Oryctolagus cuniculus: one gene and its partners. The protein of the gene in region 1 binds, or shares a complex with, the protein of each later gene. Links are inferred from orthologs where the notes say so. Each region holds a gene or a part of one and is shown in the gene's direction. Other genes may lie near its edges. The genes, in order: GDF5, HJV, TWSG1, BMPR1A and RGMB.

The links.
Region 2: the proteins of GDF5 (region 1) and HJV are in contact, whole or in part, in a crystal structure (PDB 6Z3L), measured with the Homo sapiens proteins. The link is inferred for Oryctolagus cuniculus from reciprocal best matches to the Homo sapiens genes GDF5 and HJV. Residues at the interface, in NP_000548.2 of Homo sapiens: Met412, Trp414, Trp417, Phe478, Asp480, Ser481, Lys488, Tyr490, Met493; in NP_001366281.1 of Homo sapiens: Arg95, Arg98, Gly99, Leu101, His104, Ser105, His108.
Region 3: the proteins of GDF5 (region 1) and TWSG1 are in contact, whole or in part, in a crystal structure (PDB 8BWL), measured with the Homo sapiens proteins. The link is inferred for Oryctolagus cuniculus from reciprocal best matches to the Homo sapiens genes GDF5 and TWSG1. Residues at the interface, in NP_000548.2 of Homo sapiens: Glu434, Phe435, Pro436, Ser439, His440, Glu442, Asn445, Val448, Ile449, Leu452, Ser455; in NP_065699.1 of Homo sapiens: Cys26, Lys28, Cys31, Ala32, Ser33, Val35, Ser36, Leu39, Ile40, Cys44, Gln45, Cys46, Arg47, Cys73, Val74.
Region 4: the proteins of GDF5 (region 1) and BMPR1A are in contact, whole or in part, in a crystal structure (PDB 3QB4), measured with the Homo sapiens proteins. The link is inferred for Oryctolagus cuniculus from reciprocal best matches to the Homo sapiens genes GDF5 and BMPR1A. Residues at the interface, in NP_000548.2 of Homo sapiens: Arg399, Phe435, Pro436, Leu437, Ser439, His440, Glu442, Pro443, Asn445, Val448, Ile449, Leu452, Ser455, Met456, Pro458; in NP_001393490.1 of Homo sapiens: Gly65, His66, Cys67, Pro68, Ile77, Thr78, Phe83, Ile85, Glu87, Cys100, Met101, Lys102, Glu104, Gly105, Phe108, Gln109, Asp112, Ser113, Lys115, Ala116, Gln117, Arg120, Ile122.
Region 5: the proteins of GDF5 (region 1) and RGMB are in contact, whole or in part, in a crystal structure (PDB 6Z3J), measured with the Homo sapiens proteins. The link is inferred for Oryctolagus cuniculus from reciprocal best matches to the Homo sapiens genes GDF5 and RGMB. Residues at the interface, in NP_000548.2 of Homo sapiens: Leu396, Arg399, Phe435, Pro436, Leu437, Arg438, Ser439, Asn445, Val448, Ile449, Leu452, Ser455, Met456; in NP_001353437.1 of Homo sapiens: Gln57, Thr60, Phe63, Val64, Thr67, Ser68, Leu70, Asn71, Tyr88, Leu103, Val104, Ser107, Ala108, Leu110, Gly111, Ile112, Asp114, Leu115, Gln118.

The regions. Positions count from the first base shown.
Region 1 is NC_091442.1:22,724,532-22,730,743, forward strand, and holds GDF5 (growth/differentiation factor 5 precursor), read left to right. Parts: upstream 1-2,050; coding exon 2,051-2,678; intron 2,679-4,947; coding exon 4,948-5,822; downstream 5,823-6,212. UniProt on the Homo sapiens protein: Growth factor involved in bone and cartilage formation. During cartilage development regulates differentiation of chondrogenic tissue through two pathways.
Region 2 is NC_091438.1:48,867,636-48,873,881, forward strand, and holds the start of HJV (hemojuvelin), read left to right. Parts: upstream 1-2,524; 5' UTR 2,525-2,770; intron 2,771-4,027; 5' UTR 4,028-4,116; coding exon 4,117-4,213; intron 4,214-4,573; coding exon 4,574-5,136; intron 5,137-5,597; coding exon 5,598-6,221; 3' UTR 6,222-6,246. UniProt on the Homo sapiens protein: Acts as a bone morphogenetic protein (BMP) coreceptor. Through enhancement of BMP signaling regulates hepcidin (HAMP) expression and regulates iron homeostasis.
Region 3 is NC_091441.1:66,529,392-66,535,307, forward strand, and holds the start of TWSG1 (twisted gastrulation protein homolog 1), read left to right. Parts: upstream 1-1,905; 5' UTR 1,906-2,206; exon of another isoform or gene 2,207-2,450; intron 2,451-4,600; 5' UTR 4,601-4,637; coding exon 4,638-4,760; intron 4,761-5,916. UniProt on the Homo sapiens protein: May be involved in dorsoventral axis formation. Seems to antagonize BMP signaling by forming ternary complexes with CHRD and BMPs, thereby preventing BMPs from binding to their receptors.
Region 4 is NC_091446.1:78,229,478-78,234,945, forward strand, and holds part of BMPR1A (bone morphogenetic protein receptor type-1A), read left to right. Parts: coding exon 1-157; intron 158-1,144; coding exon 1,145-1,320; intron 1,321-2,204; coding exon 2,205-2,335; intron 2,336-2,415; coding exon 2,416-2,541; 3' UTR 2,542-5,468. UniProt on the Homo sapiens protein: On ligand binding, forms a receptor complex consisting of two type II and two type I transmembrane serine/threonine kinases.
Region 5 is NC_091445.1:21,218,670-21,224,636, forward strand, and holds the start of RGMB (repulsive guidance molecule B), read left to right. Parts: upstream 1-1,952; 5' UTR 1,953-2,471; intron 2,472-2,632; 5' UTR 2,633-2,830; intron 2,831-3,674; 5' UTR 3,675-3,727; coding exon 3,728-3,732; intron 3,733-5,967. UniProt on the Homo sapiens protein: Member of the repulsive guidance molecule (RGM) family that contributes to the patterning of the developing nervous system. Acts as a bone morphogenetic protein (BMP) coreceptor that potentiates BMP signaling. Promotes neuronal adhesion.

The DNA.
Region 1 (6,212 bases):
TACTGGAGCATGAGGGCAGGCTTCATGGAGGAGGCACCACGTGAGTTGGCACTTGTTCAAAGGGTAGGTAGAGGGAGGGATGACCTAGGAGATCCTGCGGGTCTGGAAGCCACTTACGAAGGAGTTACGAGTTTGGACGGAGAATAGGGACAGTGATGGGGACATGGAGGGTGGAGGGGCGGGGAGATGTGTGCCAGAGAGGCCTGGGTAAGGGACTGAAGCCAAGCCAAGTGACTGGAAGAGAGGTGGCTGCCCTCCGTCGAGCTCCCCAGAGAGAGCCTCCGAGGTGGGGAGGGGAGCTCTATTGTCTTTTCTGACCTCAGAGCCCCAGATGCAGCTCGGATGGCCAAAGTGTGCTGTTGTGCTCTGAAGATCAGTGAGGGCCCAGGGTCCACCAGGCGAGGACCGCTGGGTGCCGGCACACCCCTGCAGACATCACAGAGCTTCTGAGACCTCAGAGTCTCTTAGATTAAGAAGGATGCCATGGAACTCCTGGCCAGTGTTGTTGCAGTGAGGTGGACACGAGGGAGTGATTGGCTCTGTCTGGAGATCGAGAAAGGCTTCCTGGAGGAGGTGAGATGTCAGCTAGACTTGTCAGGATGAGGAGGGCTTCCTTCATTGTGGGAGAGGAGGACATTCTAGGTGAAGGGAACAACTCTTACCCCACGATTCTGGGGCGAGTTGCCCATGGCCTCTAAGGGACAGGCTCCCGAGCGAAGGGGGCTTCCTGGCTTCCAGGAGGCACTTTAAGAAACCCCAAGTCCAGCTGGAATTGGGACTTGTAGAGCTACCAGAAACGCATGGAGGAAGCCGCTTTTCCAGCCTCCTGCAGGGGTCGCTGCTGCCCCAGGCTGGGGCCGTAGCCTCTGGACTCAGCCCTCCTGCTCGAAGGGAACTCTGAGGAGGTTGGGGGCTGCCGGGACCTGTCTCCGTCCACACAGCGGGCTCCGGGGTGCCAGTGCCCCCAAGCCTGAAGAACTCACCTGCGCTCCGTCAGTGGCATTCGGCGGGGAGTGCAGCGGGCACCAAGATCTTTCTCTCTCTCTCTGGGTCACCTCAAGTTTATTCAAATAAAAGAAACTGTAGGTAAATGCTGCCATCTGTGCTACCTCCCGCCAACACACACACACATACACACACACACACACACACAGAACAAATCAGGCCCAGGACTACACGCAGGGGTTGAAACCGCCTTAAAAACATGGCAAGGACTTACTGAAAACCCACACTGCCCGTGTTTCTGGGGCTTAAGATCTTCGAGCTCATTCCCGGGCATGCCTCTGCAGGCAGGTGGGGTGGGCTGCTCCGTGAAGTGCACATGAGGACCCCTGAGTCTGCTGGGCCGACCGGGAGCCCCCTAAGCCGCAAGTCCCGCTGTGGGGCTCTGTGCCAAGAGCCCCCGTGAGCCAGGGCCTGCAAAGGGCAGCCGTGACTTTTTTCACATAAATATATCGTACTTAAATGAGTTTAGACAGCATGACATCAGAGAGTAATTAAATTGGTTTGGGTTGGAATTCCGTTTCCAATTCCTGAGTTCAGGTTTGTAAAAGATTTTTCTGAGCACCTGCAGGCCTCTGTGTATGTGTGTGTGTATGTGTGTGTGTGTGTGTGTGTGAAGTATTTTCACTGGAAAGGATTCAAAACCAGGGGGGGAGGAAAAAAAAACTGGAGCACACAGGCAGCATTACGCCATTCTTCCTTCTTGGAAAAATCCCTCAGTCTTATACAAGCCTCCTTCAAGCCCTCAGTCAGTTGTGCAGGAGAAAGGGGGCGGTCGGCTTTCTCCTTTCAAGAACGAGTTATTTTCAGCTGCTGACTGGAGACGGTGCACGTCTGGATCCGCAAGCATTTCCACGATGGGACTGGACACAAACACACGCCCGGCAGACTTCAGGAGTCTCAGACTGAGAGCGCCGTCCCTGCTGCCGCTACTGCCGCCGCCGCTGCCTTTGAAAGTCCACTCCTTTCATGGTTTTTCCTGCCAAGCCAGAGGCTCCTTCGCTGCTGCCGCCGTTCTCTTTGGTGTCATCCAGCGGCTGGCCAGAGGATGAGACTCCCCACACTCCTCACTCTCTTGCTTTGGCACCTGGCTTGGCTGGACCTGGAATTCGTCTGCTCTGTGTTGGGTGCCCCTGACTTGGGCCAGAGACCCCCGGGGCCCAGGCCAGTGTTGGCCAAAGCGGAGGCCAAGGAGAGGCCCGCGGTGGCCCGGAGCATCTTCAGGCCCGGGGGTCACAGCTATGGTGGGGGGGCCACCAATGCCAGGGCCAAGGGAGGCACCGGGCAGACGGGAGGCCTGACCCAGCCCAAGAAGGATGAACCCAAAAAGCTGCTGCCCCCCAGAACGGGTGGCCCTGAACCCAAGCCAGGACACCCTCCCCAGACCAGGCAGACTGCAGCACGAACTGTGACCCCAAAAGGACAGCTTCCCGGGGGGAAGGCACCCCCAAAGGCAGGATCTGTCCCCAGCTCCTTCCTGCTGAAGAAGGCCAGGGAGCCCGGGCCCCCTCGAGAGCCCAAGGAACCGTTCCGCCCGCCCCCCATCACACCCCACGAGTACATGCTCTCGCTGTACAGGACGCTGTCCGATGCTGACAGAAAGGGAGGCAACAGCAGCGTGAAGTTGGAGGCTGGCCTGGCCAACACCATCACCAGCTTTATTGACAAAGGGCAAGGTGAGGGGGTGGGGTGGCAGGGGTGCGACTCAGAGGGAGGGGCAGCTGCATGCATGGCGGGGTGGGAGAGGGGGCCTTGCACGGGCTGCACTGGGGCAGGACGGTGTGTGCACCTGGCCTGGGATGGGGTGCCTGACTTCTTTCTCTCTTACACACACACACACACACACACACACACACACACACACACACCAGGTCCAGGCTGCTGGCAGGTCATTGCTGGAAGGCGACTAGTGATCGCCAGATCCACTTCCTGCAAGGTGCAGAGAGGCGCACTGGAGCCGGGAGAGGGGACGGAGCTGCCCGTGAGGGGCAGATCGGAGACCAGACTCCGAGAGTCTTGACTACCAGGCCGTGCTCTGCGTCTGGGGGGGCTGGCCAGATTTTGCAGGCTCCTGGAGTTTGTAGATTTTCTCACTGGGTGGAGAGAGAGCTGAGTCTCCCGGTCGCCGAGGCTCTGCAGCTTTGCTCTTGGGCTGAGGGCAGAGGAAGCCGGGGCATCTTGCAGTCGTGGAAGGATGTCTGGAGACGTGGGGAGACTGCAGACCCAGGGTCTAACTCGCAATGTGACCCTGAGAAAAAGGCCCTTCTCACGGCAGGCTCTGTTCTCCCACGTGCACAGCCGTTTGGGCGGTGGGCTGTGTGATTTCTGAGTGCCCCTCAAAAACTGAAAACCTGATGTCCTGTCCTAACCACAGATCATTTTCATCCTGAACCTGGGGGAACACCTGCTCCCCTCACTTCTCCCTCTGCCCACCTCGTGTCACTGTTGCAGCTCTTCTTCTAACTCGCTGTGTGAGCTCAGCAAGTCTCCCTCTCCGGGCTGGCTGCAGCGTCTCCCTAGTGTGAGAAGGGGGGGTGGGCCGCTGATCGCTCGGGTTGCTTGCAGCTCCTGGGCTCTGGTTCAGAGTTTGAGGGGCTTTGGCTGGCAGGGTGGGGGAGGGGACAGAGATTGGGAGAGGTTCCTCATTAGAGCTGGCCTGTAGGGGAAGCACAGGGGTGGGGGTGCGGGTGGCGGGGGTGAGGCACAGAGGCAGCAGGTCTGGCTGAGGTGGGGGGAGGTGGCCTGGCTGCCTGCCCAGCCAGGGAAAGCTGTGACCCCTTGGGGAATCATAAAATCAGTCCTTGTGCCCCCCAGCACTAACGGGGCTTCGGGAGGGGGAGATGGGGAGTTTAAAGGCCTAATTAGTCACCTAGAGCAATATATGAATGTTCCCCAATGGCAAATTGGTATTTAGGAAGAAGGGTATGCCGATTCAGAGATACTACTAGCTTCGCACACACAGTTTGGATTTATACATGCATGCGGAATCACACACACACACATACACTCACATACCTCTTTATACACACAATTCTCACATGTAAGTATACATGTAAGAACTGACCTTTCAGATAGTCACACAAGCCCAATGCAACACACTTGTAACATGTCACTCACACACCCGAGGGTGCGTCTAAAAGTTTTTAAAAATGGAATCGAAAGACATATATTTTTGGTGCAAACATTTTGAAACTCATGCGTACTCAGCCATGATCTTTCCTATTCAGAATAAACCCAGTCACACACACATACAAACCGTCACACACTCACACATGCCGCAGAGCAAGACATATCCACAAAAGCCTGGCAAGCTGAGTTATCCACAGCTTTGTCGGTAACTCTGTGTGACCTTAGTCAAGTCGCCCCGCATGCCTGTCCCTCATCTACAAAGCGAGAACACCCAGATCTCCTCCAGGAGAGTGTGAAAGCAGCTCAGATCGGGGATCAAAAGCTTCCGGCTAGCGTTCCAACCCTGGCTGGGTTTTCTCAAGCAAGCACCTAACTTCTCAGAGCCGTAGGTTCCTCCGGAAAAACAAAGGTGATTTTAATGTCTGCTCTGCCAGTCTGATAACTGAGCTATCCTGTTGCATGATGGATAGGAGAGGGAGAGAGGCAGAAGGCAGCTCCAAGGCTGGCGGATCGTTGACACATGTAGATCATTGGCACAAACCACCCCCAAATCACTCAAGGCAACCGCAGCTACATTTGCAGACGAACACCAGACCTTGGTTGCCTGTGGGAAGCTCCCTCCTTTTGAAAACGGTTGTCAGTGCTCTGGGTCTTGGCCTCTGTTGGAGTGGGGAAGAGGTTAAAGAGAGCTCTCTCGTAGGGGGGAGAGAGAGAGAGCGAGTGAGTGAGCGAGCTGGGGTGCTCCCGTGGGGCCTCGAGGTGACTGGCTCCCCGAGGTGGGGGATGCAGGCAATGACTTCTGGGTGTTCTCTCTAGATGACCGAGGGCCTGTGGTCAGGAAGCAGAGGTACGTGTTTGACATTAGTGCCCTGGAGAAGGACGGGCTGCTGGGGGCTGAGCTGCGGATCTTGCGGAAGAGGCCCTCAGACACAGCCAAGCCAGTGGCCCCCGGCAGCGGGCGGGCTGCCCAGCTGAAGCTGTCCAGCTGCCCCAGCGGTCGGCAGCCGGCAGCCTTGCTGGATGTGCGCTCCGTGCCAGGCCTGGACGGCTCTGGCTGGGAGGTGTTCGACATCTGGAAGCTCTTCCGAAACTTTAAGAACTCGGCCCAGCTATGCCTGGAGCTGGAGGCCTGGGAACGGGGCCGGGCCGTGGACCTCCGTGGCCTGGGCTTTGATCGGACTGCCCGGCAGGTCCATGAGAAGGCTCTGTTCCTAGTGTTCGGCCGCACCAAGAAACGGGACCTGTTCTTTAATGAGATCAAGGCCCGCTCCGGCCAGGATGATAAGACCGTGTATGAGTACCTCTTCAGCCAGCGTCGGAAACGGCGGGCACCCCTGGCCACTCGCCAGGGCAAGCGACCCAGCAAGAACCTCAAGGCCCGCTGCAGTCGGAAGGCACTGCATGTCAACTTCAAGGACATGGGCTGGGACGACTGGATCATCGCACCCCTTGAGTATGAGGCCTTCCACTGTGAGGGGCTGTGCGAGTTCCCCTTGCGCTCCCACCTGGAGCCCACGAACCATGCGGTCATCCAGACCCTGATGAACTCCATGGACCCAGAGTCCACACCCCCCACCTGCTGTGTGCCCACGCGGCTCAGTCCCATCAGCATCCTCTTCATTGACTCTGCCAACAACGTGGTGTATAAGCAGTATGAGGACATGGTCGTGGAGTCCTGTGGCTGCAGGTAGCAGCACTGGCCCTCTGTCTTCCTGGGTGGCAATCCCAGGAGCCCCTCCTTGCACTCCTGGAATCACAGAGGGACCGGGAAGCTACAGCCAGGAGCATCCACACACAGCCAGTGAGAAAGGGGAGCCCCAGAGCCTCACTCACTCCCTGAGTGCAACTGGGGCTCGAGGTCTCCTCCTGTCCCTGAGTCCTCCTGTCTGCCCTTTCAGTGACTGGAGGGACAGGCCTGAGGGACAGTGTTTCCCAATGAGACTCAGCCTTCCATCTCTCCTCACCTGGGCCCCCCAGGCCCCTGGACCTTCCAAGGAGGTCTGATGCTATCCTAAGCACTTCTGGGGAGAGCCACAGGTGCCACTTCCTGGTTGAATCACCTTTGTGCCCGGTGACTTTCT
Region 2 (6,246 bases), on another chromosome or scaffold:
TAAACTGGCACCCATATGGGATGCTGGCACTGCAGGCGGTGGCTTTACCTGCTACACCACAGCGCCAGTTCACCTAAGTCTCTTTTAGTCTTCAGATTTCTTCTCCATCTTCTTAAATTTACTTAAGAGCCCAGGTTGCTTCTTTTGTAGAGTACTCTCACAGTCTGAATTTGCACCTCTGCAATACCATTTGATGTCTCCCTTCTTTCCTGGAAGTTAGTAGTTAAATCTAGATTGGTGGTTAATCAGATTCAGACTGAAGCTTTTGTTTGTTTTTATTTTTTGCAAAATTGTCTCATGTAAGGTGGAGTTGTGTGCTCCACTTCCGATCAGAAGACCATAATATTTATCTCTCTTTTTGTGATGGATATAGATCATTGCCTGGACACTTTAATTCATCAAGAGTTACAAAATGCTAGCATTCTAATTATGCTATCCTTTCTTCATTTATTTCCTGTAATACATTTATAAAGAGAAGCTTTCCCTTTATATTGAATAAAATCACTTGAATACTTTCAATGTTTTACATTTTTTTTTTCAAGATTTTACTTATTTATTTGAGAGGTGAAGTTACAGTCAGGTCGAGGGAGAGACAGAGAGGTCTTCCATCTGCTGGTTCACTTCCCAAATGGCTGCAATGGCCAGAGCTGGGCCAGCCAAAGCCAGGAGTCAGGAGCTTCTTCCGGGTCTCCAACATTGGTGCAGGGCCCTAAGCACTTGGGCTGTCCTCTGCTGCTTTCCCAGGCCATAGCAGAGAGCTGGATGGGAAGAAGAGCAGCTGGAGCATGAACTGGCGCCCATAGGCAGAGTCTTAGCCTACTATGCCACAGCACCACCCCACCCCCCATTTAGATTTTTGTAATGAAACTTCTTGTGATATGGCCTCATATGATTCAGGGAAAAACTAAATTTGTTAGATATATGATAATAGTACTTGTAGTACTTGTATATACATATACATGAATATGTGTGTGTGTATATATATATATGTATATATATATATGAAGTATACTATGGTGGGCCTCTAGATTCTGAATGTAAAGAGCATGGGTATAAGGGCCGGTGCTGTGGCATAGCAGGTAAAGCCACCACCTGCAGTGCCAGCATCCCATATGGGGGGCCGGTTCGAGTCCTGGCTGCTCCACTCCTGATCCAGCTCTCTGCTGTGGCCTGGGAAAGCAGTAGAAGATGGCCTGGAGACCCAGAGGAAGCTCCTGGCTCCTGGCTGCAGATCAGTGCAGCTCGGGCTATTGTGACCCTCTGGGGAATGAACCAGCGGATGGAAGATCTTTCTCTCTCGCTCGCTCGCTCACTCTGCCTCTCTTTGTAACTCTGCTTTTCAAATAAATAAATCAATCTTTAAAAAAAAAAAAAAAGAACATGGGTATAGATGCCGTAGTGATACTATTTGGAATCAGTCCTTGTGCTAATTTCCTTTGGCAGATGTTAAGAGGATGAATGGTTGGGAGTCTGGTCTAGTGGTTAAAATGCCCGCATTCCATACCAGAGTGCCTGGGTTTGGCACTCAGCTCTGCTCCTGGAAGCAGCAGGCGATGGCTCAGGTGACTCAGTTACTGCCGCCCACATGGGAGACCTGGATTGGGTTCCCTGCCTCAAGCCTTGGCCCCAGTCAGCGTTGTTGAGACAGTAGGAGAGTGAACTAGTGGATGACAACTCTCCATATCTCTGCCTCACAGATAAATACAAAGGCATTTACACTTTTTTTTTAAGATGGTGATCCCAGATATTCCTATGGCTGTCAAAACATGACATGGTTAAATTCCATGCTCGCGAGTCTTAGAGGCTCACAAGATTATGTTGCTCCACGAAAGCACATTTCAGGATCTCCTTTTCTCTCAGTTTATCTAATTGCTCCTCTCCTATGACCTCCATTCCTTCTCTTCCTCTTTGCCTTTGTTAGCTTCTCTCCCAGCAACTCAGGAGCTTGCATTGCTGTGTGCCCATGAGGGAGAGGGAGGAGGAACTTCTGTGCAAACGAAGGTATGGAAAACAGAGGAGGTAGGGACAGACAGCTGCAAGGATCCAAGCTGAGGAGACTGAACAAACCCTCACCCAAAACAACTCAAAGCTCAGATTTCTTCTCTGGACAGCTGGCTTTGCCAGTCCTCCTGGAACACTCCGCAAAGGTGGGGGCGGGGCTGTGACCCACCTCCGCTATGGCTCTTCCTTAGTCAGAGACCTTCCAGATACTCTATGTGGAAACTACATGTAATGTTCAAAAGAGCACGGATGAGGGAAGTAAGTGAGAGGTATCCGATTGCACACCACAATACTTAAAGGTCAAGAGCTCATTGCTGAGAACGCCAAAGGGCTGCCTGGAGTAGACAGCGACCATAGAGTGACCTGAGAAGCACTGGATATGTGACTTTGCTGTCATATTTCTCCCACTCTCCCCACTTGGCACCCAATACTTCATATTCTCTCTAATCTTTCTACCCTCCCCACTCCCACACCCTACCCCCACCAATGTTCCTGGAATTTTGGACTTAGCTATTTTTAAAACAGTCAACTCAGTAGCCACCTCCCTCCCCCGCTCAGCTGTCCAATGCTCCCGCCAGCCACATACTCCCCTTTTCCCCACACCAAGCCTTCCCTGGCTTCCTGACCTCAGGGAGATTGCAGCCGACCTGGGGAGCTGGGGGAGACATGGAGAAAGAGACGGGGGACCCCCTGGCTGGAGCAGACTGACAGAGTAGGCAGCCATGGCTGGAGAATTGGATATCAGAGTAATGTTTGACCTCTGGAAACAGTAAGTTAAAACGCAATTGCAATTCCTTTCATAAGCTCTTGGATTGAAGTTAGACTTTTATGAAATTACAGACACTGCCTTGGATGTCTCTGGTCCAAAAGCTAGGATCTCTCTATACCAAGGTGCTCCAATCTCCATTTCTTTCAGTCTCACTTCTTTCTAGCATCTAACCTCTGGCCATTTGAAGTTTAATCCTCTGTCTGTGTCTGGCAGTCTTTGCCTTGTTACCCCAGGACTTGTAATGCAGTCTTTGGAGGAGTTGCCCACCCCCCTATTCTGTAGTTTTCTCATTGTGGCCAAATTTGACCTAGATGATTAGTCACTGACATGCCTGCACCCTGTCCCTACTTAGCAATGCCCTTCACATTGGACTTCCAAGGGTGGAAGCTATCCCTTGTCTTATATATGACGTCTGCCCACAACTCTGCTCCCTCCAACCTACTCTTTTCCCAAATCGTTTCATTAGTCCAAAAGAGAGAAGTTTGGTACGAGAGAGCTGGCCCTTCCCTAACCCCTGTCCTCAGCAAAAGACTGAGAACTTCAAATTTGCAAAGGGGAGATTAGTGAAAAGAGTGGTTCTTCAGTTAGGTTTGGGAAAATAGCAACTGTTGACTCAGAAAAAGCAAACATTGATTGGCATGCCTGGTTTTGCATCCTGTTATTCTAAGACAGGGGGATTAGGACTGCAGCTCCCCTGAGTGGATGAGAGATTGATTCTGTTCTCATTGGAATACAGAGGTTCTAGAAGGCAAGGGTATCCTCCCTGTGCTCCTTCTTGTCTTTCTGACACCAAAGGGGAAAAGAAATGGACGACTCCCGGAGGGCGGCCCCTTCTAGTGGGGAGAGACGCTTCAGGGGCGTGTTGCTACAGGATTTCTAGAACCGAAATCTGCAGGGGAACACCCCTCCACCCCCAGCCCCACCCCGGGGGAGCTGAGAACTGATCTGCCTCCACAAGTCCTCCATTTTTGACAGAGCTGCTGTTTGGTAGTGCTAGATGGGGCAATATGTGGACTCTGCCCCCTTGAGGTCACTCAACCTTCCCTCCACCCCCACCTGGGGGTATTGCACAAGGGACCTGGAAGTGACCATAGGAGCAGAGCTCATCTGCCACACTTATAGTTTGGGGAGCCCCATTCTCTCCAAAACCCGACTGCTCATCCTTTCCTTGATCTCCCCAGATTCTCTTCACAGCATCCTGACCAATCCTCAACTCTTCTCTTTCTCCATGCCCAGCCAAATTTCTCTTTTTTTCAGTCACTTACAGGACAGCCGGTCAAAATTCACTAGGTAGGAGGGCCATCAGCTGGGAAGAATCGGGGCTGGGGGCACCTGGCTGTATAGGTATGGGGGATCCAGGCCAGTTCCGTAGTCCCCGGCCCCACCACGGCAGTCCCCCAACTCTAAGCACTCTCACTCTTCTGCTGCTCCTCTGTGGACATGGTAAGGAACGGCCAGGGAAGGGCTTGGGAGACCCCAGGGGTGGGCCTGTGAGCCTGTGTGCCTGAGGCAGAACGGCTGCGGGCAGTACCAGGCACCCGCCCTACTCTCAGGGACATTTCATGTCCCACTGGACTTGGGGAAGGGCCCTGGGAAGAGCTTGGTGGACAGAGGAGACCATGTGGGCTCACACACTTTAATAAGACTGAGGGAGGACAGGACCAGGGGGCGGAGGGGGAGAGCAGGGGCTTGGCTAGGTTTTAGGAACGACTGGAATCTCCTGATGAGATTTGGAAGTTAGGAGGAGACTCTTCGAGCAGGGATGTGGGAACCGCCTCACAATCTGCTCCCTTCCGTCCTCAGCTCATTCGCAATGCAAGATCCTCCGCTGCAATGCTGAGTATGTATCGTCCACCCTGAGCCTTAGAAGTGGGGGTTCGCCAGGAGGGCTTCGAGGGGGCGGCGGCAGCGGCGGCCGAGCAGGAGGAGCCGGCTCCGGCGGCCTCTGTCGGGCGCTGCGCTCCTACGCGCTCTGCACTCGGCGCACGGCCCGCACCTGCCGCGGAGATCTTGCCTTCCACTCCGCCGTGCACGGCATCGAGGATCTCATGATTCAGCATAACTGCTCCCGCCAGGGCCCTACGGCTCCTCCCCCGCCCCGCGGCCCTGCCCTTCCAGGAGCAGGTCCTGGCCCCCCAACCCCAGACCCCTGCGACTACGAAGGCCAGTTTTCGCGGCTGCACGGTCGTCCCCCGGGCTTCTTGCACTGCGCCTCCTTCGGGGACCCCCACGTGCGCAGCTTCCACCACCACTTTCACACGTGCCGTGTCCAAGGAGCTTGGCCCCTGCTGGATAACGACTTCCTCTTTGTCCAGGCCACCAGCTCCCCCGTGGCAACGGGGGCCAACGCCACCACCACCCGGAAGGTCAGGGTCTCAATTTTCCTCCAGGGGTCTTCATGAGATTTTCTAAGGGTTCCCCCACCCATCCCACCGCCTCCCCAGCCCCATCATCCCACAGCAGTGCTCCCAATCCCCACTCTCACATCCCCGGTCCCTCCCTCCTACCAAGCGCTTTTTCCTGTGAATCGGTTTCCTTCCATGGGAATGTCCCTCAAATGCTGAAACCGCTAAGGAGAAAATTGGGGCAAGAGGAGCTGAGGCGCTTCAGAAGTCTCCTTGGGAGACTGGGACCAACAAGTAGAGAGAGGGGCTGAGGGGGAAGGAAGCAGTATTGGAGCACAGGTAGGAGAAGGGATCCAGGACTGAGGGCCGTGAGAAGCCTTGTCTCCCAGCTTGGATGGGAGCCCTGACTTTGTGCATGCAGGTGGCCTGATGGGAGGGTGCGTTGAGCCCCAAATGAACCATTCTCTGTCTTGCTCACACAGCTCACCATCATATTTAAGAACATGCAGGAGTGCATCGATCAGAAGGTCTACCAGGCCGAGGTGGACAATCTTCCCGCAGCCTTTGAAGATGGTTCTATCAATGGAGGCGACCGACCTGGGGGCTCAAGTCTGTCCATTCAGACTGCTAACCCTGGGAGCCACGTGGAGATCCGAGCCGCCTATATCGGCACAACTATAATCATTCGGCAGACAGCTGGGCAGCTCTCCTTTTCGATCAAGGTAGCAGAGGATGTGGCCAGGGCCTTCTCGGCTGAGCAGGACCTGCAGCTCTGCGTTGGGGGGTGCCCGCCAAGTCAGCGGCTCTCCCGCTCAGAGCGCAGTCGCCGGGGAGCTATCACCATAGACACTGCCAGACAGCTGTGCAAGGAGGGGCTTCCGGTTGAAGATGCTTACTTCCATTCCTGTGTCTTTGATGTGTTAATCTCTGGTGACCCCAACTTCACTGCAGCAGCTCAGGCAGCTCTGGAAGATGCGCGCGCCTTCCTCCCGGACTTAGAAAAGCTGCACCTCTTCCCCTCAGATGTTGGGGTCCCTCTCTCCACAGCCACCTTCCTTGCCTCACTCCTTTCCGGACTCTCTGTTCTGTGGCTTTGCATCCAATAAGTACGCAGCAGCTCCGTGACTGGTT
Region 3 (5,916 bases), on another chromosome or scaffold:
CATTCCACTATTTCCATTCTTTCTGTTTCCTTCCAGTCAATAAAGGGCAGTAGAAAGATGTTGAAACCTCTTAGTAGGGGCTGGCGCTGTGTGCACTGTGGTGTAGTGGGCCAAGCCTCTGCCTGTGGTGCTGCCATCCCATATGGGCGCTGGTTCATGTCCTGGCTGCTCCTCTGCTAATGGTCTGGGAAAGCAGTAGAAGGAAGTTCAAGTCCTTGGGCCCCTACACCCACGTGGGAGACCCAGAAGAAGCTCCTGGTTCCTGGCTTCAGATCAGCTCAGCTCCGTGGTTGCGGCTATTGGGGAGTGAACCAGTGGATGGAAGACCTCTCTCTCTCTCTGCCTCTCTGTAACTCTGCCTTTCAAGTAAATAAATAAAATCTTTGGAAAAAAAGAAAAGACTCAGTAGTGCAAGGGTTTGACACTAGGTCATTTTTTCCAAGGAGAAAGGGCCTATGGCTCCTCTAGGCTTTTGGGCTCCAACTTAATCATGCTTGAATCCTGTTTACAAAGCAAATTCTTGGGGCAGGCATTTGGCACCCTTGTTAAGACACCAACAAACCACAGAGGAGTGCATGAATTCAATAGCTCCTGACTCCAGCTTCCTGCATGCAGAGGGAGGTGGTGCTGATGGCTCAAGTGTTTGAGTAACCCTGCCACCCAAGTGGGAGACCCAGATGGAGTTCCAGGTTCCTGGCTTCCTGCCTCTCCCAGACTTGGATGTTGCAAGCATTTGGGTAGTGAACAAGTGGATGGAAGACTGGTCTCCTCCTACCTCAACCCTTTCAAGTAACAAATAAAAAAAAAAATAGAAATAAAATATAAAAAGTAAATTCTGGGGCAGGTGCTTGTCCTAGCTGTTAACACGCTGGCCATCCCATACCGGATAACCTGGGAGTACCTGGGTTGGATTCCTGCACTTGCTTCTGACTCCAGCAGCGCCCCCCGCACCCCCTCCCCCCGGTCCAATTTGCACCTTGGGAAGCAGCGGTGATGGCTTAAGTACTTGGGTCCCTAACTACAACGTAGGAGACCTGGATGAAGTTCCCCGCTTCACCCACAAGGGGTGACTCACGAGATGGGCGCTCGCTGTCTCTCTCCCTATCTCTGCCTCTCAAATAAATATATTTTTAAAAAGCAGATTCCCACATGGGAAAACATCGAGTGCAATCCTCGATTTCCTTGACCCGCATGCTAACTCTTGGTGGGATGAACCCCTCTTTTCGTTTTTCTTCTTCTTCTTTTTTTTATTTGACAGGTACGCAGGCGTGCGGGGAGGCGCTGCCCGGTGCCTTGGCGGTGCACGCCCCCGACCTTCGCTGAGTTCCCAATGTTGCGCACACCCCGGGCTTCGCACGCTTCAAGAAACAGCTGAGGGCCCTCGGCAGGCGCTGCCCTTGGCGGTCCTTCGTCGATCTGAGGTGGATCCCAGAAACCTGACGAAAAGCAGCGAGGGTTCAAGTGTCTGTTCCATTCCGGGGCGGGCTGGGCCGCTCCATCGCGCTGTGCCTCAGCTCCGCGTCCGGGAATCGCTCGCCTGCCGGGGCCGCTGCGAGGCACAGCGCACCCTCAGCCCGGCGACCGGCACTTGCCCACGTGTTTGTTCCTAACGCTGTGCAGCAGAGGGGAGCCAGAGATGGGTGTGACAGGAGGGTCTGCTGGAGCCCGACGCAGGTGACCGAAGCAAGGAAGAGCCGGCAAAGGAAAGCGCGCGCGGCCGGCCAGCCTGCGCGACGCGGCTCTGAGGGGCCCGGGCGGGTGCGCCCAGGGGAGTGGCCTGCGGGTGAGCGTGAGCGTGTGTTTGTGTGAGAGGGGTGTTGGGGTGTTCGGGGCTGGGGTCACGGTGAGGGAGTGGCTTTGCGGGCGGGCGGCTGCCGGGGCTGCGGGTGGGCGTGGTTTTAGCGCGGGCGTGGCCACGGCGGCGGGGCGTGGTCTGTGGGCGGGGAGCGTGCGCGCTGACCTGGGCGCCCAGGGTATAAGAGACGCCTCCTGGCGGGAGCTGGCGGTTGCCAGCCCCAGCGAGAGCCGAGGGTATCAGGGAGGAGGACTGCAGGCGGGCCTTTTCTCAGGTGGCCGAGGCTTGCGGGCTCTGCGCAGAAGGGACGGCGGGAGGCGCGGCCTGGCCTCGCTCTTACAGCCGCTGCGGCGCGCTCCGGGCTCGGCCGACCCGCCGGGAAACGAAGGGCAGGCGGCCTCTCGGCGCACGGTGAGCGGGAGCGGGCCGGTGGGGGGTGCAGTCTTCCCGGCCGCGGAGGGCCGGGCGCCGAACTCGGGCCTCTCTGGACGGAGGGCCGCGGCCTGGGCCCGGGGTTCTCGGGGGGTCTGAGAAGGTGCGTCGGCGGGCGGCTCCAGGCCGAACCAGCAGCATCCCTGCGACGCCCTCGGTGCAGGCCGGCGCGTGAGGCCCTGGGCCTGGCCCTCATCCTCCGCAGCCCGCAGCGGCCGAATGGGTAAGGGGCTAGGAGTCCCAGTCCCGGGCCACCGTCGGCCTCCTGCTCCCTCGCGCTGGGGGCTCTGGGACGGCCGGACCCTAGGCCAGGTCCTGCTGGGCCGCGATCGCTGTCAGTACCGCAGGTCGCCAGTCTGAGGCTGGATGCGTGAAAAACCTCTTTGATGCGTTGTTGTTCCTGCCTCCTTAGGAAACCCAGGAGCCCTTGACCTAACTGTTACCTGGTTTGGGCTTCGCTCTTAGTCCCTCGAATGCTCCTTTCCTGGTGAACTTGTCCAGGGCTGCCGAAGACAGCCACGCAAGATGGGGGAAGCGGCATGGGGTCGCGTCTGCCGTGGCTGCAGGAGAACTAGCTCGGGACAGCCAGCCTCAGAGGCTTTCTCTGAATACGTGCTGGGGGCTGCAGAAAGCATCCGGGGCTGTTTGTGGGGTTGAGTTAGGAGGTGGGTGTACTAGCGGTCCTCAGGGCAGTGCTTGAGGGCCTGGGTAATAGCGCCAGGGCTTTCTCTTTAAAAACTGACTCATGCTGGCTACGCAGCCCTTTATGCTTTTCACTCCTGGTTACCTGTTCTTTAGTGTACTTTGCAATACTTGCAAAAGTTGAGAAGAATCGTAAAGACGCCATAAGCCAACCTTCTATCCCTGTTACATCCAGTAGCGATTTATTTTGTTTGATAATGTTTTGGGGGCATGTTTTTTTATCCCAAGAAAAAACTTTTTTTTAAAGTTTAATAGCCTGTTGCCTGTTTAACCCTTGTTAGACTTTGTGCTGGCCTTACCCGCCTCCTTTGTGATTTTTAACTGATTTATCTTATGATTTCAAAGAATCTGTATCTAATAGAATGCAAACAATATCTTTACATTTTAATAAATTACTCAGAGTTCTTAATGCCATTAATAATTTACTGTCCCCTTTGTTACTGGTTCAATTATTTAAGGAATGACTGCACACACTTTTCTTTATTCTTGCTAAATATGGTGAGAGATAAAATGAGATAGCTATAAATAATTCAATTTGTTTTGATTGTAGGAATTTAAAAAATTGGGGCTGGTGCTGTGGCGTAGTGGGTTAAACCTGTGACCTGCAGTGCCAGCATCCCATATAGACACTGGTTCCAGTCCTGGCTGCTCTACTTCCAATCCAGCTCCCTGCTAATGCACCTGGGAAAGCAGCAGAGGATGGCTCAAGTCCTTGTGCCCCTGCACCCACATGGGAGACCTGGAAGGAGCTCCTTGTTTCTGGCTTTGGCCTGGCCCAGCCATTTGGGAATGAACCAGCCGATGAAAGATCTCTTTCTGTCTCTCCTTCTCTCTCTCTCTCTCTCTCTCTCTAACTCTGCCTTTCAAATAAATAAATAAATCTTTAAAAAAAGAATTTAAAAAATTTTAAGTGTTTTAAATTGTAATACAGTATTAATAGTTTTTATGTTGTTTTAATGTTGAATTGTAGCAATGTACTATTGAAACAGGTTATTCTCTTGATACAACTCTCAGGCTGTTGAGAGCTTAGGTATATTCAATTTAACTTCCACAGTCACCTTTTTTTTTCTTTCTTTTTTTTTCTTAAGATTTACATATTTATTTGAAAGTCAGAGTTACACAGAGAAAAGGAGGGCAGAGAGAGAGAGAGAGGGTCTTCCTTCCGTTGGTTCACTCCCCAACTGACTGCAACAGCCGGAGCTGCGCCCATCTGAAGTCAGGAGCTAGGAGCTTCTTCCAGGTCTTCCATGCGGGTGCAGGGGCCCAAGCACTTGGACCATCTTCTTCTGCTTTCCCAGGCCATAGCAGAGAGCTAGATCAGAAGTGGAGCAGTCAAGAATCGAACTGGTGCCCATATGAGATGCCAGCACTGCAGGCGGTGGCTTTACCCGCTATGCCATAAGCGCCAGCCCCAACAGTCACCATTTCTGAGAGACATAGTATTCCAGGTCTTTGAAGGTGGCTATCAAAACAGTACTGTATAAAATTATAGCTTATATTTTGAATGTTTAATCTTTCATTGACAATGCTTTTAAAATGATCACTCAAAAGTCTTTTGACATAAACAATGAGTCTTGGTTTATGTTTTGATGTTCATTTTTGTATTTGTCTTTCCTCTAGCACTTGCCTTTGAAATAAAGTGTTTTTTTTTTTTTCTTTTTGTTTGCTTAGCTTCCTGGGAGTTACTGATTATCTTCTTTGAGGAATCATGAAGTTGCCCTGTGTCATCACGCTTACCCTGGCGGGGCTGATGTTCCTGATGTGGCTCCCGGTGTCACTGAGCTGCAACAAAGCACTCTGTGCCAGCGACGTGAGCAAGTGCCTCATCCAGGTGGGATGATGAGTGTGTTCTTAGTGTTAACTGTATTGACAGCAGATATGAAATGGGCATGTGTATGTGTGTAGAATTATTGGTATGTGTGTATCAGGGTCTAAGGCCCAAGTATAGGTCAGAGCCTCAGGTACTAGACCATGGCACACTGGTCTGTATTTTTATATTCTCTTGCATATAAGCAAGCTGAGATTCAAGGAGTTCAGTGAGTATCATATTCATATTCTGTTTTACATACAAGATGATAACCACTGTATTCAAATGAATTAAAGCATTCCCTTGTATCACCTAATTTACATAGCAATGAGGCTCAATGACTATATTAAGAAAAAAGTTGGTCAAATAATAGATTGTACCCTGCATTTAACATATTAGTTATCTATTTCTGTGTAACTGATTACTCCACAACATGGCACCTTAATACAGTAAACATTTATTATCTCACAGTGTCCGAGAGTCCAGAATCAGGGAGCCATTTAGCTGGGGGGTTCTGGCTCAATCTCACAAGATTGCAGGCATGTTGGTGGTTGGGATTAGAGAATCTGCTTCCAAGATACTTAAATTCTCTCTCTTCTAATCCCCAAAGCAAGCCCACTATGTAGCTACCACTCTCATTTTCCTAGGAGAATGTGAGTTCAGGTGATTTGGCAAGATCCTTGGGGCCAACAAGTGCCAGTAGAACTTGGTCTGTGTTTGACTCCAAAGCTCATGGCCTTCCCACTGAACATACTGGTTATGATTCCTCATAAAATTGTGATAATTAATGGTAAACTTCATGTCTTACATAGCTGTTCTCTTTTCCCATCCTATTAAACCATCAGCAGTCTTTTGCCTTTTGTGTGTCTGTCTTTATTGGCCTCCCTCCGAGCCACTGGCTGTGGGCTAATAAATTCAGTCACACATGTGAGCATTCTGTGACTGTCTGAGTCAGCGAACTCTTGACTGTAATCCTTCCTTGAACTAATTGTGTATACAAGTATGCGCTAGAATGGTAATTACCTTCATTGATCAGAGTCATTTTGTTCTGATTTATGACATTTTAGTCCTCATTAAGAGTTGAAGTTCTAGTTACCACATATTCTGATAACCCTTACTTTGCATTTTTAATCAAAACATTTAACTAGGGAAGTTTGTTGGTTGGTTTTTAATCTTTTTA
Region 4 (5,468 bases), on another chromosome or scaffold:
CGGCTGCCTGTGGTCTGTGCCACTTGCACACAGAAATTTATGGCACCCAAGGGAAGCCTGCCATTGCCCATCGAGACCTGAAGAGCAAAAACATCCTCATCAAGAAAAACGGGAGCTGTTGTATTGCTGACCTGGGCCTTGCTGTTAAATTCAACAGGTGCGGGGGTCTTTGCCCAACCATGTTGAAAGTGTTGTCACCTCCAAAGGGTGTTTCTGTACCTGTTTGTCCTGAGGACATTGCAACTCTGAAAACACGTAGGGACCCTTCGTTAGGTCATATATGCATATAGTTGGAGTTTTATGGGGTTTTCTTGTTAGTAATTACATACTACTTTACATAATTCTTGATTTCCTGCTTTTTGTCTTACATGTCCTTCCTTTTCAGAAGGGTGTTTGTGTAGATCTGCCTCATTCTTTTTTTTTAATTTTAAGATTTATTTTATTTATTAGAGAGAGAGAGAGAGATCTTCCATCAGCTGGTTCACCCCCCAAATGGCTGCAGTGGCTGGAACTGAGCCTGTTTGAAGCCAGGAGCTAGGAGCTTCCTCTGGGTCTCCCACATGGGTGCAGGGGCCCAAGGACTTGGGCCATCTTCCACTGTTCTCCCAGGCCATAGCAGAGAGCTGGATCAGAAGTGGAGCAGCTGGCACCCATATGGGATGCTGGTGCTACAGGCCAGGTCTTTAACCTGCTGTGCCACAGCACTGACCCCCTGCTGCTACTTAACAGATGTAGTTTTCCGTGACCCAACTGTTGGATGTTACTGTTACCTTCAGTTTATCCCTGTTATTAAAAAAGTTTTAGCGAACATTACTATGTTTTATCCATAGAATACAATATGGCCTTGAGCACTTGTACAAGTATTTGTTCCCAATGGATTCCTGGAGAAGGAGTATGTGAAATTCCGACCTGTGGCCTGTTGTCCCCTCACAAAGCAGGCGTCAGCTACCCCTCCTGTGAACAGAGCAGAGAAAGACGCCCTTTCTCCACGACTGCTGGATGGTGCCAGCTGTTTAAACATCAGAGTTACAAAGCTTTTAGGATATGAGAGAGAGAAAGGGGGAGACACTGGTGTAAAATGTCGTGAAAACACAAGCTAGGCTCTTCGTTGGTGGCACTCACCCTGGATACCATCTTGTTTCAGTGACACGAATGAAGTGGATGTGCCCCTGAACACCAGGGTGGGCACCAAGCGCTACATGGCTCCCGAGGTGCTGGACGAGAGCCTGAACAAAAACCACTTCCAGCCCTACATCATGGCGGACATCTACAGCTTCGGCCTCATCATCTGGGAGATGGCCCGCCGCTGCGTCACGGGAGGTAGGCGGTGGGGCGGCCTGCCTGGTCCTACTGGTTTGCCCATCGTTGAAGAAACAGCAGCTGCTGTGGGGTAATTTAGATGTCACGTCTGTCAGAGTCCCCAGGAGCGCCCCCCAGATGCCGTGATGGCTCTAGGACTCGGCACGTAGTCATTCTCACGGCTGAGATGTACGGTGAGAGCCACAAGTCTAACTCGGACAAGGAAAGGGCCGGGGGCAGAGTCAGGATGCCGAGCCCCTCCCACTGTGGACCGTGATGACGTCTGTCATGCACTGTCACACAGGGCACTCACAGCAAAGCTGGTGGTGTGGGCATCCTCCTCCTGGCCACTCCCAAACCCCCGGCTCCCAGAGGGAAAGCAGGTGTCGAGTGCGTACCGTCCAGGAGCAGCCGTGCCTTTACCACAGGGAGAGTTCTGTGTGCACGCAGGGCGTCGTCTTGCCTGCAGGCTCCTAGGCACCAGCCCAGGGCGGCCTTGCAAGCAGGCTTCAGTGAGAAGCCCGGCGTCAGGCCTGCTGTTGTCTGAACTCTGGTCTGCAGCTCATGTCTCTCCACTGTGGGACAAAGTCAGCCAGAGGGCTAGACACGCATTTCATTGGTAGGAACAGCCTGCTAGTCGGTGGTCCTGTGTATGGTGTAGAGTAAGTGCAAGGGTTCGCCTTGCCCCCCACCCACGGAATACTGGCGTTTCCTGATGGGCTGTCACAGTTCTGGGGTGCTGGCTGGAGGGGAGGAAATAATGGGCATGAATAAGAGAAGCCCGTGCACTCACCGTTCGAAGTGGACCCCCAGGCCCTAGCTGTCTTCCTTGGGTAGGAGCTGTGTGGCCCTGTAGCTCTGCAGGTTGGCTGCGCAGTGTGGCCACGGTGTCCCTCTGCCTGCAGGGATCGTGGAAGAGTACCAGCTGCCGTACTACAACATGGTGCCCAGCGACCCATCCTACGAGGACATGCGCGAGGTCGTGTGCGTCAAGCGGCTGCGGCCGATTGTGTCCAACCGCTGGAACAGCGACGAGGTGAGTGCCGGCTCCCCGCAGAGGGGGCGGGCTTTGGCGCCCACCGCCCTCTCTGCTCACCATTTCTTCTTTGCTTCCAGTGCCTGCGGGCCGTGCTGAAGCTGATGTCAGAGTGCTGGGCCCACAATCCAGCCTCCAGACTCACGGCGCTGCGGATCAAGAAGACGCTGGCCAAGATGGTGGAGTCGCAGGATGTAAAGATCTGAGCTACGCGCTGCAGGCGCCGCCCCTGCCCCTGGGCTCGCCGGGGCCAGCATGGGAGGAGGACTCGAACCTGGCTCACGCCCGCCCTCACTGCACCTTCCCAGGCTGCTAGCGTCAGACCCTCCCGTATCCTAGAAGCCGGGAACTCGTAGACACTTGGTTTCTATACGAACAGCTGTGTTTTAAATGTGGTATTTGATGCCTTTTTTTATTGGGTTTCTATGAACTGCATAGACTTCAGTCCTGATGAGTAGGGCTCCAGTCAGACTCTGGGTGCTGAGCTGCCTGGTCAGCAGGTGGTGCTTTCTGTGAAAGCCTCCGGAAGATAGAGTTCAGCAGAGGTGGAGAAGCACACGCTTGCCTTCTACCCGAGGACGTTCCATCTGTGCGCTCCGCTTGCCTTTGCAGAGTGGCCCCGAGGGGGCGCCTGGCCTGCCTCCGTCACCCGCCAGCCGCCCTCGGCTGCCCTGGGAGCTGGAAGACAATGACGGACGAGTGCACAGGAAGGTGCTGGTGGCTGCTGGTTTGTGCTTTAAAAATGCAATTTCTGACCGAGAGTCCCCTTCTTTAAAAGCCTTGCGGGCTGGAGAGCTCCCCTACCCGTGTTTCTTCTTAATGTCAAAGTCAGTGTCAAGGCCAAAAGAAGTCTAAAGTGCCCATGAATCTGGACTGTTTTCCTGCCACCACCCTTTTTTTTGGGGGGGGTATTTTGTTGGGAAGAGCACCCTCCCCAGAGCTGGAGCCTCCAGTGCCATAAGCTGCGTCACCTGGAAAGCACCTGCTGTGCGTTGGCCCGCAGTGCCAGTGCCGCTGACTGCCTTCTGTGTTCCTCGTTCTCAGTGACTTTTAAAAGGGAAGTTATTTATATTTTGTGTATAATGTGCTTTACTTGCAAAACCCCTGCTCCCTGACAGCCTGCGGGGGTCACATGTGTCCGTGTATTAGCAGCCAGCTCACGGGGCCCTCAGCCCACCCCCCAGGGGAGACACTGGGGAGAGCGGGACTATGGGGGAGTGTTCAGAATGATCGCGGCCACGGCAGGGCTCCCCATGCCGGGCCCTGTCAGCCCTGGGCAAAAATGTGTCCACTAAGATTGCAATGTTCCTTTATGAGAGGAGTCTCTTGATTAGAAATGTTGTCTCAGAGCTGATGGAAATCCATGCGCAGCTGTTAATTAAGCGTGTTGTAGACAACCAGATGGTTTGCGGTTTCTGCGCCCTGCCGTGTGCAGACACTGGAGAGTCGGGAGAGGCTCAGCACCTGGTCAGCACCCGTGAGCACGCAGTGCGCCTGTCACTCAGTAAAGTGGTGCCAGTTTCCTAGATGCTTTCCCGCCTCCAGGAACGGTGCAGGTCCTGCAGCTTGCTACCGCGTAACACCTCCAGATAGCCACCTCCTGCTCAGAACACACAGCTCATGGGTGCATCCCGTGAGATCGACATAGCATCCACGCGGGGATATCACACACGGTCAGAAAGGCTTAAAGTAAACGCGGGCAAATCACAGCACGTGTCCTTCCGTGTCGTTGGAAGCTAAAACGCACATGTGGGTGTCTACACAAATTTGAAGCTTGCCTTATCCGTCTGGATTGTTTAGTAAGTTGCATCTCACATAATCAAAATCGGAAGTGTTTATTAAGATAAGTAAATTTGCATATTGGCAGTACCAAATAACTTGCCTTTTTGCCTTTTCAGAATGTTTCCCCATCTATATATCCAGAAATATATTTTCATCGAGATTGCCACGTGACGTTTTTGAGCCCTGGTTAACCTTGGTTAACCTTGGTTTGTGTATGACTTGATAAACTAAAAATTTTGGTCATCTTAGTATAGGAAATTTATACCGAAAGGCAAATTTCATTCTTAGAAATGCTAAAATGGTATGTGAAGCAAAAAATTGCAGTGTATGAGGTCACAATGATAATGTTTTTGATTAGTGTGGACTGGTGACAGTGATACTGAGAATTAACCCGAAAAAACTTGTTCAACAAAAACATTTCCTAGGATACGATCTTCTTTAAAAAGCAAATGCTGCCAGATTTGGAATCCTGAAATCTAAAAAAAAAAAAAAAGTTGCATGAAACTTAACCATTTTCTGCTCTCCTTCTCACTCTTACTCTTAAATTTGAAGTTTAGCTACTAAGTGAAGCAATTACTCTGTCAGCCAGTAAGGGGAAGCCCTGTGTGTGTGGTACCACTGTTGATAATTGATGAGACCCTGAAAGTTTAGAATTCAGCATTCATAAATGTCTGGCTTCAGCCAGCCATACCTTTTAAATATCATAAACAGAAAAGCAAAAGCCTAAAGGACCTGGATATGAACAGCGGGAGTGAGTTCTCTTATGCGGCGGCGAGTCTGGGATTAAAGGCTCACCGAGACCCGCTTCCCTTTGTCCTGCAGCTCTCCCTGTGCTCGCTCACTGAACAAGTCTCTGAAGTGCAGCGCTTTCATCAGCTTTTCCTGTTGCCTTCCCAGCGTCCAGGGGTGTTCATAAACTCAGAAAGTGACCTTCACCTGTGGTTTCTGAAAAATCGCGTTTCCCTAGAATGTGCCAGATGTTTTCCCTATTCACTCCTCACAAATACTCAGTACCTCGTTTTTCGGATGCTTTATTTAGAACACAAATGCAGTACAGTTTTTAAAGAATCGTGCATCTCGAGGTGGTCCAGGATTAAATTTGATACTGAAGAATAATTTATTCCAAACAGATTTTTATATATTAAAACATTTCTTGACATATATTTTGTTTTGAATTGTTTCTAAATATCTTGAAATAATTTCAACCGCAGAAATACTGTGTGCGTTTTTGTTAAAGAATCATGGCCCTTGGACTGTTTAAAAGTGGCAGCATTGGAGAAGAGCTCGGTCAGAGGCAAAGGTCGCCTCTGCGCCCTGTGCTGTGGCGAGAGCCGCGCTGGGACCCGGCCGA
Region 5 (5,967 bases), on another chromosome or scaffold:
ATAAGATTTGACTAAGTAAAATATTTTTTTTACAAAACCACATTTAGAAAGTGGCATTCTCTCCTAGTATTATGTTATAAAATTCTTTTCCTTACCACTTTTATTATTAGTACAACTAATATTTATAATAGTGTAATTTATTAACAATAATCCTCAAACAGTATAAGCAAATAAAGGAATTATTAAGGGGGCTATCAATTTCAACAACACATGCAAGGAAAGCAAAACAAGGACTAGAAAACAGATCCACATGTTTCCTGGTAACTGAGATGAGGCCCACAGTTTGCACAAATAAAAACTTAGAAAAAGTAAGCCAGCTATACTCTCAGCAGCTGGGAGGTCGGATTATCCACTAGCTGAGCTTCGTAAAAGCTCAAGTTCTGTCGTCTTTGCATGGATACTCGGAAAATGGTGCAAGTACATATTGTATTAGCAGTTTCCTTACAGTCAACAGAGAAATGCTAAGTATACTTCACTGAAAAATGACTTTTTGCCTCTCTTACAGTCCCATTTTTGGCTTACCTTGATTGGTGTGAGAGAAAAAAAGAAAAATCAAAACAACATGATGGGGGAAAATTGTAGAGCACTGAGCAAGATAAAGGATTTGAGAATAAAAACAAGCCAGGTCTTTTTACTTGAACCTTACTGGAACATCTGAGGTGTAATTAGAAATATAAATGTTTTGGCATACATGAATGGGACAATGGGAATGTTGAGGTTGATACAAATGAAGGTAACTGTGATACAGTTAGTAACCATGAATTGTATTCTTGAAAATCAGAGAATGGTTATTAAGTATCCTCACTAAATTTGGGACATAACGCTTACCTTAATCCCTGCCATATAGTCATGCCACAACATATACATATTTCAGTCACATCATGCACAATATATATGATTTTTGTCAACTACATTTTTAAGGAAAAGCAATTACACAAGCTCACAATATTTTCCCACCAATATCACTAAATGCAACTTTTTAAAAGAGTGCCTTGCTTCGAAAATGAAAAAAAAATCCTGAAATTCTGCTGTTGAAATTAAGCAAGGCATTTGTAGTTTAAAAATTAGTACTTCTATTATGAAAGTTCATCCTTTTACGCCTTTGTTGCAGAGAAGATTCCACAGGAAACAAAAGTGCAGGTCAAAATTCCTATGTGGGCTCTGAACTGAAACCCCTGAGAGACATCATGAGATAAAGGAGAAATGCAATGTGTGGTGTGATGAATGCATTCACACAGTGATTGACAAGTTAGCATCCAGGTTCCACTGGCCAAAATCACATGGAGATGGATGGGGCAGAAGAGGTTCTGACGGCTTGCGCCCATCGTCCAAAGCTAGCAGAGCCGGGAAGTGGTGGATGACTGGGGCTGCATTAGAAACATCGGCTGGGCTGGCTCCCTGGGCTGACTTTGAACTCTTGTTCATCATTATTTTATGCTGCACTCCACTTTGTATTGGTGGAAGGGAAAAGAAAAACACAGGAGACTAGCTTTTAGCTTCTAAATCAAAGCTCTGCTTTGCTGATTGCCGGAGTGGCTTTTCAAAGGCAAAGCAAGTGGGGGCATTAGAATTCCTTGTTTCTCTAGACCAAGAACTGAAGTACCGTTATTTTTTTTAATTCTCAGTAGCAAAAAAAGAACATATTTCAATGTATCTTACATTTACCTTGAAGCAGCCTCTGTGGTGGTTCCTTTTTTCTTTTTCAATTTGATTGGCACTTGCAGAAGATAAAGCAAGGTGGGAAAACATTTAACAGGGAGCCTGCAGAAGGGCGCGAGGAGGCGTGCATTGTCACGGAATCTCAGAACCGGGAGGAGCTGTGCCCCTTGCACACCCTGACTCAATCCCTCACGCAGGTGCCTCGGGAGTCAGGACGGCCCCTCCCTCGGCCGCCCTCGTGGACTGCCCGATGCTGCCCCCAGCGGCAGCCCGGTGAAGTGCGAGGAGGCCGCGGGGCGCGGAGCGGGCGCAGGGAAGCTGCGGGAGGGTCCCGCAGTCCCCTCCGAAGGGAGCCGCTCGCTGGCCCCACGCAGCGGCCCTGGAAATTCGGCCCCGGCCAGGAGAGCAACGGCTTTGTTTCCCCGCGCCGCGCCGCGCCGCGCCGCGCCGTCCGCGCGGCGACTGTGGTCCCCGGAGCATTCCCCGGGGCTGGCTCCAACTCCCAGCGCTTCCTCCTCTCCTTGTTCCCACAGCTTGGCCCCGGGCTCGCTCGTTTATTTATGTTTGGTTATTTAAGAGGCTGAAAGACAGAGACGGCCGGGCGGCCAGGCAGGCGGATCTCGCATCTGCTGCCTCGCTCCCGCACGCGCCCGCACCCAGGAACTCGCTCCGCGTCTCCCGCGCGCTGGCGCAGGCACCCAGCCACCTGCTAGCTCAGGTCCACGCCGGGGCCGGCCTCGGGGACCCGAACCCGCCCCCTGCCCCCATTCGGAGACCCTCGTGGGGAGAGACAGCGCGGCGGGGAAGGCGAGGTCTCGACTCAGCACCCGGCGTGGCGCGGGCCGGGCCGTGGCGGCGGGGGTCCTGCGCGCGCCGGCGCCGTCGGGGGTCGCGCCGGCAGGGGGCGGTGCGGCGCGGGGCGCGCTTCCGAGGAGGGGGCGGCAGGCATTTGGCTCCTCGCCCTCTCCCCTAGGTGGCAGAGCGGGCGCAGCCCCCGGCCCCCGGAGCTCGCCCCGAGTCGCCTCGCCTGGCGAGCGCCCCCCACCCCGAGGCGGAGCCTCCCCGCCGGCGCCCCGGGCCCCGCGACCCCCCACCCGCGCCCGGGCCGCGTGGCTTGCGGCTTATTTTCCCAGCTGGCGGGCGTCGCGCTGCAGACAAGGGAATGCCTGTGGTGAGTTGTTTATTTTGTCGGAGTTTGCGGTGGGCCGGGGGGCCCGCGGGGGGCGGGCGGCGGGCAGCGGCCGGCACTGCTTGGCGTTAGCTCTCCGTCCACCTGTGTGGTATAAATCAACCAGCCCCGGGGTGGCGGGGGCCGGCGCGGGAAGAAGCCCCCTGTCCCCCCTCGCGGACCCGGGGTACCACGTTGGCCTCTCCGTCTTGCTCGCGGGCGCGCCCAAGGGCAGGCGGCGCCCGGGGCCGGTGGACAGCCTGCCTGGGACCTCCACCCCTGGGGCCGGACCCCGTGCCAAGCCAAGGGGGACGGGGGTGCGGTGGGGTGGGGGTATCGGCTCGAAGGGCTGCCGCGACATTCGTGGGCACTTGCTCTGGCGGCTTCTCTGGGGCGTTGGGTACCGCGAAGTGGGGATCCTGGGGGAGCCCCCCACCCAGGGGGCTGCTGGCCGTCGTGGCCGCGGCTTTGCTGCCCTTGCCTGGAAGGGGGAAAAAAAAAACCTAACTACATTAGCGAGCTGGTAAAGCTTTTAAGGCCTTCTTGGGAGTGAGTGGCTGGCTAATGAGAGGTTAATTTTGTTTCGAAGGCAAGGCTGCGCTGGTTTCCTGAGATAAATGGACAGGAAGCGCATTACCTCCGCGCGCTGGCAAGCGGCTCCCAAATGCTTTTTGCACCTGCCGCTTCGGGCGGTGCGGCCCGCGGGGACCGCGGGGTGCGCGCGGGGGGCGGGCTGCGCGCCTCGCTCGGCGCGGGAGCCCGGCACCACCACCCGCACCCCCGCACACACCTGCCTCGGGGGGCGCCGTGCTCACGCCGCGCTCGGGGGCTCTCCTCTCACCCCCAGGTCCTGCGTGTTCCGGAGCTCGCGGGCCCCCTGCAGCAGCGGAGGGGTTAAGCATGACGTAAGTACGAGCCTGGAGCCCTGGGGGCCCGGGCCGCCTGTGCCCCAGCCCGCAGCCGGGGAGCCCTCCCAGGCGGGTCGCGAGCCGGGCCCCCAGCCCCTTAAGTCCCTGCTAAGCAGGCAGAGGTGGACGGTTTGTTAACTCGGGCTGGGGGAAACCGGCGAAGGCGGCAGGTGCAGGTGCAGGCTCAGGAAGCGGCGCCGCATCGCGCGCGTGGAGTGCACGCCCTGGCCGCGGTCGGCTTTGCCGGGGTCCCCAGAAAGTGCGGTTCTGGTCTCGCCCTCAGACCCAGTACAAGTGGCGAGGAACCGGGGGGGAGACTTGCGAGTTGCACGACTCCTTGGAGTTTTGCAGGTTTTTTTTTTTTTTTCTGATTAAAATAGCAAACTTGCTGAAAGTCGTCGATGGCGTGTGCGGTGCGGGCCTGGCCCACGGCTGCTCCTCCGTGGGGTACAGGCCGCCCCCCTTCCCCGGCACGGACCCGCGAGGCCGTGGGCGGACCCAGCGTCTTGAAGACGGGGGACCACCTTGCGGTTTCGTTGTGAAAATTAGCATTTTTCTTCTAGCGGCTGAACGCTTGTGCGGCAATAAAAAGTGGATTGTTAGGCTTATAAATCTTGAGCTTGTCAGATTTTACAACAGAGGAGCAATAAAGCGCCTCGCAGCGGCCCGGGGCCCCAACGCCGGGCTCCGCCGCGCCTCCGGGGCGCCCTCTGCCGGCCGGAGACTCGGGGCGCGGCGGGGAGCCCCGGCTCGACCTGAACCCCGGAGCCACCGCCTCTCGGCCAGGTGTCCTGAAGTGTGGCCAACAAAATGGGGTGCTCCCGCCGTAGGGCTCATGAAGAGGAACTGAAAAACATATATATATATATTTACTGTCAAGGCTTTGCTAACAAAGCACTTGCAGACACACAGCGTCCTGTTCGACCATGCTTTTAAAGGACATATAGCTGCATGTCACAGAGTTGATTGTAGATAGGAATTGAGAGAGAGGGTACCTTTTTTTTTTTTTTTTTGGCTCTAATCGTTTTGGGTGCGCGGCCTTATCTAACGATTTCAGGGGCTCCCTCCCTCCGCGCCCCTATCAAAAAGCCATTTCTGCAAGGCAACTCCGGAGCTATCATTAGGAACATGAAGCATGTGCAGAAGGCTCGGCTAGTGAAAGGTGTGTTTGCCGCCTGAGTCATGCCGCTGTGTCATAGCGATGAAAAAGTTAGAGGAGGAACGGTCTACTCCACTAGGGACCTAGAGGCTCGAGCAGCGCGCAGGCCGGTGGGGTGGACGGCTGCCACCACCGCCCCCAGCCCCCATCACCCCGCTCCACCGCCGGATAGCTCCGGCGAGCTAGCAACGCGTCCGCGGTGCACAGGAAATGTCTAACCGGAGATCCTGAGCTACGTGGCGGGCAGGGCTGCCAGCTGCGGCCCGGGACCCGGCGGCGGCGGCGCCCGGGAGCACTACCCACCCGCGGACGGCGGCGGGCTGCGACCCTCGTCGGGCCCCTGGAGGCCCCTCTCCTAGCGCGAGCGGCCGGGGTGGGCGGTTTGTTTTCTCCACCTCAACCCCCCAACCCCGCCATTGCGCTCCTGGGCTCACGGACGGGAGGCGTGAGAAGCCAGCGAGCAGCGCCCGCTCGTCGCGGCGCGATCCCGCTGCCTGAAAACGCACCCCGCGTTCCTCTCACCGCCCCGGGACCCAGCCCGTGGAGGGTCGCCCCCTCTCAGACCCCCACCACCACCGCAGCCTCCTCGCCTCAGGAACACCCCGGGCCGCAACACCCGTTCTCCCGGCTTTCGCCGAGCGCCCGCAGCGAGGCCAGGGCTGGGCCGGGGGCCCGCACGGCGCGTGCGGAGGGGCTGGGGCTGGTGGGCGCCGAGCGGGGAGCCGCCGTGATAACCGCACCAAAGACTCCGCGAAGCCGCGCAGGCTCGCCGTCATTCAAGGAGAGGTCAGAGGCGGGGTGCTTTGAAACGCCGGCGAGAGCGAGGAGGCGCTGCCGCTCGTTTCTATTGGGCGCCAGGAAACAGTAAATCGCGGAAGAGAGGAGGGCGCGTGAGGGCGGCCGGGCCGAACGGACGCGCAGGCGGCGGACGCGGAACTCGCTTTGCCCTGAGCGGACGGGAGGCGGGACGAGGTGCGGGGGCGGGAGCACCGGGCCCTGCGACTGGCCGGCGGGGTCCGGCGGACCCGCGCTTGCAGCCAATGGAAAGCAGGCGAGGGGCGTGGCCCAGCGCG